Linked DNA regions of Sus scrofa. Each later gene encodes a partner of the first gene's protein in a complex. Links are inferred from orthologs where the notes say so. Each region holds a gene or a part of one and is shown in the gene's direction. Other genes may lie near its edges.

Region 1 (3,747 bases):
AGGAAAGAGAGTAAGACACAGACAAAAGAGATGGTGACGGGCTTCATGTTTAGATCAGAAATGGTAGGTGTCCCATACAGGCTAGGACAATTAGGCTGAAGCAATAGTTTCCAAAGGTTGTCCTACTTTATAGGAAAAACTGACCTGCAACTGAATTATCTGGAGAGCTGTTTAATAATATAGATTTTGGATTAAAGAATTTCTGGAGATGGACCTAAGAATTTCTAATTTAGGAAAGCTCCCCCTCTAATCATGAGGCACACAGATTCTGATAATCACTAGTTTTAGGAAAAGGAGCCCCAGACCTAAGGATGAAAAACCGAAGGTGCTCAAGGGCTGACCTATCAGCCACCAACAAGTGCCCTGGTGCTTGGAGACAGAAGAAGATGCCAGGGAGAAAAGACCCACTGGAAAGAGCAGTTCTCAGAGCTAAAGTTATCCCCAGGGCTCCCTGCTCTGTCTTCTCATGGGCTCTGACGCACTGCAGGTCGACTGGGTTGGGATCCATCCCGCACCAGTCCAAAGCTGGGATGACAGGTGTCCAGAGACAGGTGAGCCAGGTCAGGTTAGACCCTACTGTGAGAAGGCTGAAAGGGGTTTTAAGCCCTATTAATAAGGGTCAAGGTTAGGTTAGAGCTAAAAGTCACTCACGGTGCTCTCTGGAGCCCCAGGCACATTCAGCAGCTCCCAGCGCCCGGTACATCCTAGCTCCAAGGCGCGGAGGGGCAGATCCAGGGGATCTGGGGTAGGCAGCACTATGGGAGGAAAATCACAGGTCAGGGGTCAAGGGTCATTCCCTGTCTCCTCCTCCTTCCCACCTTCTGCCCCCTCACCGAGTCGCTCCGTCTCCATCATCCTGGAGCCACGGTAGCTGCCGGGCAGCCCGGAAGTGTAGGGAGGAGCCGAAACCCGCGGAACTAGCGGCGACTTCCGGAACACACCCCGCTGGGGGCGGGGACGAGCACTACCGAGGGGCGGAACCCAAGCTGGTGGGAGGCCGGACGGAAGTGTGCGCGCCGCGAGCCGCCTTGGTTACCGCGGTCTCCGCCCCTCGCTACGTCATCGCTCCGAGCCAGCGATCCGCTGCCCGCGCGGGCGCCGCCCGAGACCGTGGGGCTCCGGTTGCCGCCCCCTCAGGTAAGGCCTTCTCCGTCTCACCCTTCGCCCCTTTTTTCCGAGCTCCTTCTCTCTTCTTGCCCTGTTCGTTGCTCTGAGAGCGCTGCGCGGGTTCCACTGCCTCCTCTGCTTTTCGGACCCTGCGAATGCCATACTAACCCCAGCGAGGTAGGGGGGGTCTGGTGCCATCGTCTTCGCGACGGAGGGGGTGTTTCTCCCTTCCTGGGCTACGTGGTGCCCCAAGGCGCTGGTATCCGTGATTCCCGGAGAGAGAAGGGAATGCTGGTTGATCCCGACGAGCGGGGGCTTGGACGGCAGCTGGTTTAAGCAAGGGGTAGGGAGAGGCAAAAGACAGGAGTAGGCAGGCCTGGAGGGGTGGGATTGGGTGCAGTGTGGACGGCGTGTGACCCCTGGGCGGTGACAGTGGAGAAAGATGTCTTGGGCCCTGCCCCTGAACCAGGAGCCACCATGTTGGTGATACCCCCCGGACTGAGCGAGGAGGAGGAGGCTCTGCAGAAGAAATTCAACAAACTCAAGAAAAAGGTGAGGGAGTGTGTGTGGGCATGGCCCAAACTTTCAAAGACTCTACACTGAGAACACCTGGGGTGAGTGTGAGGGGATGGGGGGGTGGGGGTTCTTCTAGCTCATACCTAGAGACATGGCACCTCTCAGTGTCCCTTCATGGGTGGACTTTCTCAAGGTGGATACTTGCTTTTCTCTCTTTTCTGTATAGTCTGCCATGGAGGTGTCTTCCTTTCCTCCGGCTTTTAGTACCACCTAAGAACTGGTGATCCCAGGCTTGGTTTTTTTTAGTTCCATCTGTATCTTGCCAATAACCTTCATATATTGCCGCTCTGGTCTTACCTATTCTAATCTTGGTCTTCCAAATAGGACTGACTCCATTCACTTCTCCCGCTGTTTGGAATCCAGATCTCGTCTCTGTCTTATTTGCGTAGCCAAATGTTTGCCGAGTCGTCTTGATTCCTCCTTTGAAGTAACTTCTTCTGTTTACTCCTTCCTGTGTATTCTCGCAGTCAGGCCTTTGCTGATGCTCACCTAGACTGTTGTAATCGTCTCTCAGCAAGTTTCTTTTTTCGACAGACTTTTTTACTTCTATTAAAATGGTGCTTTGAAAACAGAAAACACTGTCCTTCTTTTTCTCAAAAGCCAGTGGTTTCACATTGTCTATAAAAGAGCCTTAATTTGGCAGCCCTTCCTCGTCAAATAGAACTATTCCTGGGAGTTCCCGTCGTGGCGCAGTGGTTAACGAATCCAACTAGGAACCATGAGGTTTCGGGTTCGGTCCCTGCCCTTGCTCAGTGGGTTAACGATCCGGCGTTGCCGTGAGCTGTGGTGTAGGTTGCAGACGCGGCTCGGATCCTGCGTTGCTGTGGCTCAGGCGTAGGCCGGTGGCTACAGCTCCGACTCAACCCCTAGCCTGGGAACCTCCATATGCCGAGGGAGCGGCCCAAGAAATAGCAACAACAACAACAACAACAACAAAAAGACAAAAAAAAAAAAAAAAAAAAAGAACTATTCCTTAATCCCAAAACACACACACATACACACACACACACACACACACACACACACACACACACCCAGAGTCTTATCTCTGCATCTTTGCCGCCTTGTTTTCTTTGTCTAAAATGCCTTTTCTTTTCTGTATGTTATTGTAGATTCTATCCAGGGCTCAGTTTAATGTGGGCATCAGGAAGGTCTTACTTGCTCTCAGCTATAGTCTACACTTCTTTAATCAGTCTTGACAATTTAGTCTGGTCATCTTATTTCTCAAACTCTAAGCTTCTTGAGGGGAGGATTTCCGTCTCATACTTCTGCATAGACCTGTTACAGAAATTCCTAGTGATGCTCTTTCTGATTAAACGTTTAGGGGGCGGACAGGTGAAGCCCCCAAGAAGGCATGGAGACTTACACTTAATTGCAGCTTGTATCTGCAGACTCTGGTCTATGATTAAACCCCTTGTCTTCGACTTGAGAAACGTGAGACTCTGGAAAGCCTCTGGATACTGTGGTTTGAATAGATTAGGTGTTGTTAGCATTGTAGATGCTCTGGGGGACCATATGTGAGAGGCAGGGCTGCCTCAGTGTGCCACTCTAGGGGCACCATTTGCATTATTTTCTCTGAGAAAGTTGTCCCCTGGAGTGATGTGCCCAGGGGCCTTGGGAGAGGACCTGGGCAGGGACTGGCCCTCACTGACCCCTCTCTTCTCACTCTCATTCCCAGAAAAAGGCATTGCTGGCTCTGAAGAAGCAAAGCAGCAGCAGCACTGCCAGCCAAGGTGGTGTCAAACGCTGTGAGTGACAGGGGAAGTGGGGATAGACCGGAAGTGAGGAGCCCAGGCCGACCTCTGTCACAGCCTGGCCAACACAAAGCCTCTTTCCCCCGCCACTCCAGCTCTGTCAGAGCAGCCCGTGGTGGACACGGCCACAGCAACTGAGCAAGCAAAGCAGCTGGTGAAGTCAGGAGCCATCAGTGCCATCAAGGCCGAGACCAAGAACTCGGGCTTCAAACGTTCTCGAACTCTAGAGGGGAAGTTAAAGGTGAGCACAGGGAGAAAGATGGTTCAGGGCATCCGTGACTTCAGAGGGATCCTGCCAAGTTGGAACAGA
Region 2 (3,190 bases), on another chromosome or scaffold:
ACGGACCTACAAGCCCCAGCTTCAGGTCGCTGACCAAGGAAGCCCTGGTGCTGCTCCCAGGGGCGGCCCTCACGGCAGCAGTGTTTGTGGCTGTGGACAGCTGGTATTTCTCCAGTCCATCGAGACCCAGAACCCTGATCCTTACACCTGCCAACTTCCTGCGTTACAACCTGGACCCTGTAAACCTGGCGAGGCATGGCACACACATGCAGCTCACTCACCTGGCAGTCAATGGCTTCCTGCTCTTTGGGGTGCTGCACGCCCATGCCCTGCAGGCTGCGTGGCGACAGCTGCGAGCCTGCCTCCAGGCCTTCGCAAGGGTGGGCTTCCTAAGAGCACTGGATGCCTGGCGCCTGCAGTCCAGGTCTCACCTCCTGCTCATCTACTTCACACCCCTGGCCCTGCTGTCTGCCTTTAGCCACCAGGAGGCTCGGTTCCTGATTCCCCTCCTGGTCCCCCTGGTCCTGCTTTGTAGTCCACAGACCCAGCCTGCACCCTGCAAGGGCACCCTCGCTCTCTTCAATGCCCTAGGGGCCCTCTTCTTTGGCTGCCTGCACCAGGGCGGCCTCGTGCCTGGCCTGGGGCACCTGGAGCGGGTGGTTCATGCCCCTGTGCTCCCGCATGTGTCCACCCGCTACACACTCCTCTTCACCCACACCTACATGCCCCCCCGGCACCTCCTCCACCTCCCCGGGCTGGGGTCACCAGTGGAGGTGGTGGACATGGCTGGCAGTGAGGACTGGCTCCTGTGTCAAGCCCTGAACAACTTCACCAGACAACCAGCCTGCCAGGTGGCGGGTGGGCCATGGCTCTGCCGCCTTTTTGTGGTGACCCCTGGCACCACCAGGCCTGCGGTGAAGAAGTGCAGCTTCCCCCTCAAGAATGAGGCGCTCATCTTTCCCCACTTGACCCTGGAAGACCCACCAGCCCTGTCCTCCCTGCTGAGTGGGGCTTGGAGGGAACATCTGAGCCTTCACATCCTGGAGCTCGGGGAGCAGCCTGACAATATGACAGCAGATCCACTGGCTGGGACTCAGCCATAGGTAAAGGCGTCTCTCCACCTCCTACCTGGGTGGCTGGGCTGGGACAGAGCCCTGATTCTCCTCCTTTCCTTTCCCTTCCAGAATTCCCACCATTGCCTCTCCTATGCACAGCCTCTGACCACTCCGCCTTCTGGGGAAACTGATACCCCATTTCCCTCAAAGACCAAAGAGAGGACCAGTCACAGTCCTGATGCCAAGGGCCCCAAAGAACCTGGTATAATCAATAATGCCAAATGTCTGTTCCTGCCCTACCCCTTCCAGTCACTGTGATGTTGAAATACGTAAATAGCACCTGGTTGTGAAAGGAGACAGCAATCTCCTAATGACGTCCTGAATGACTTCTCCCAGCCCCCCTAGGATGCCTTAGCTCTTGCTGTCATGACAGCCCTTTGGCCTCTTTCTCCTGGAAGGAGGCAGCATGGTGATGTAAAGAGCGGCGGACCTGGTTGCAGGCCCTGGTCTGCTCTTGCTGGCTACATGGTAAGACAGCCCCTTCCCCTCACCCAGCCTCAGTTTTCATCTCTACAGTGGATCAGAGGGTCTTTGAGGTGTCTGCCCCCCAACACTGTGTTGTTCCTGGGCCTGCAGCGCACATCCCCTGGCTAGATGGGCATGTCTCTCCCAAAGCTCTAAGCAGAGAAGTGGGTGTGGTGTATCTAACTGCACTTCGGTGCCTGCTGTCTCAGTACTTATTACCAAAATGAGTAGTTCTGGAACGCCCCTGGCCGCCCACTCCTGCAACTCTCTTCTTACTCGTGTCCCAGAAAGAGGTGGTAGGACATTTCTGTATCTCCTTTGGGGATCAGGGAGCCCAGATGTTCTCCCTCCTGGGTCGGCCCCAGTGGGAATGAAGACATAAGGCTCAGTATCTGGTGGTGCTTGAGCACAAAACCTTAAACGTGGTCTGGTCCCTCTCCAAGCCCCCAGCCCCTGTCTGAAGCCCCTTCACAGGACGGAGAGCGAAGTCCATACCAAATCCACGCCTGCTGCCTGGTAGAAGCCATCACACCTGGGCACATCGCTCCCCAAAACACAGCCCGCTGGGAATGTGAGAAGTGGTGGCACTAAGCTTGTTCTCGTTCTCCCGCCATCTCATGAGAACAAGAGGCAACCAGGCCGAGAGGAGGACGCTGGAGGAGCACAGGCAGGAGACACACTTGTGCAAGTGACCAAACCTGAGTGCTTTTCTAAGTCTGCCTTTTGCTAGCTAAAGTCTTGGGTCATCTTAAAGGCCCTCCTAGGCGGGCTGCTCTGCAGCTACTGCTAGGGTTCTAGTGCCACACCTTCCTTGGGACTCCAAGGGAAAGAAAGTCAGTGCCATGCTGGTCAGTGTTCTCTGGGGGCAAAACAGCCCTGATCTGCAGCGTTTGTGATTTCTGTGGTGTAACACGCTCACCATGGCCAATTGTTAACTACTAAAATGATGTTACTGAACTAAGCTGGGAGGAGACGCCAAGGACCACACTTGTGGATATTTCCCTCTTTAGTACCCGTTCAGGATAATTCATTGTTCTTGTGGTTCACGTTTCTGCTAGCAACTTCGGATTTGTCTCACCTGTAGTGCTTAGCATCATCTCTGGCACCTGATAAGCACTTGTTTACTTTGCAGCCAAAGAAGGCCTTTCTGCCCAACATTTAAAAGCCAAGTGCAACCTGGAGATCCCCCAGACTCTGTTTCAAATTCCTCTGGGCTTCTTGGGACTTCTGTCTCTTCCCTCCCCCAGTTGGGTTCACGACCTCAGAATTCCCTGGAGGTGCTGTTGGTGTAACAGCTCTTCCAGATTGTAGTGGTCTGAGCTCTAACAAATTTGTCTGTAAAGTGTTGGTATCGAGACTTGTGTGGCATCAAGGGGTGATTAGGAACTGCCCTGCAGGATAGTGGAATGAGTTGCTTCCCTGCTTCATTTTCTGGCAAAGGTTAGAAGAGCCTGGAAGGCATGCTGGGAGATGGTTGCCATGGGGAATGGTGGGAAGAATTTGGTTTCTTTAGTAATAGGGTAACTGGTGGGATGACAAGCCGCTGACTACAGACACTGGACGCTTCTCTAACGAAGAGGGGAGGCATCCAAACCCGATGGAGCAAAAAGGACCCAGTTTTCTTTCTGCTCTGACTCCTACCAAAATGGAGGGAACTTGGTTCCTACACT

The links. The genes of interacting proteins can lie anywhere in the genome.
Region 2: the proteins of NELFE (region 1) and NCBP2 are in contact, whole or in part, in a crystal structure (PDB 5OOB), measured with the Homo sapiens proteins. The link is inferred for Sus scrofa from reciprocal best matches to the Homo sapiens genes NELFE and NCBP2. Residues at the interface, in NP_002895.3 of Homo sapiens: Lys361, Arg362, Gln364, Ile365, Val366, Tyr367, Asp369, Tyr372; in NP_031388.2 of Homo sapiens: Phe49, Tyr50, Thr51, Thr52, Glu53, Gln55, Lys68, Ile69, Ile70, Met71, Leu73, Lys77, Lys78, Thr79, Ala80, Asp107, Glu121, Gln124.

What each region holds. Positions count from the first base shown.
Region 1 is NC_010449.5:24,044,215-24,047,961, reverse strand, and holds the start of NELFE (negative elongation factor E), read left to right. Parts: upstream 1-1,029; 5' UTR 1,030-1,137; intron 1,138-1,576; 5' UTR 1,577-1,584; coding exon 1,585-1,659; intron 1,660-3,361; coding exon 3,362-3,431; intron 3,432-3,532; coding exon 3,533-3,678; intron 3,679-3,747. UniProt on the Homo sapiens protein: Essential component of the NELF complex, a complex that negatively regulates the elongation of transcription by RNA polymerase II.
Region 2 is NC_010455.5:133,177,042-133,180,231, forward strand, and holds the start of NCBP2 (nuclear cap-binding protein subunit 2), read left to right. Parts: upstream 1-1,124; 5' UTR 1,125-3,190. Other genes in the region: PIGZ (GPI mannosyltransferase 4), read left to right, coding at 1-1,043. UniProt on the Homo sapiens protein: Component of the cap-binding complex (CBC), which binds co-transcriptionally to the 5' cap of pre-mRNAs and is involved in various processes such as pre-mRNA splicing, translation regulation, nonsense-mediated mRNA decay, RNA-mediated gene silencing (RNAi) by microRNAs (miRNAs) and mRNA export.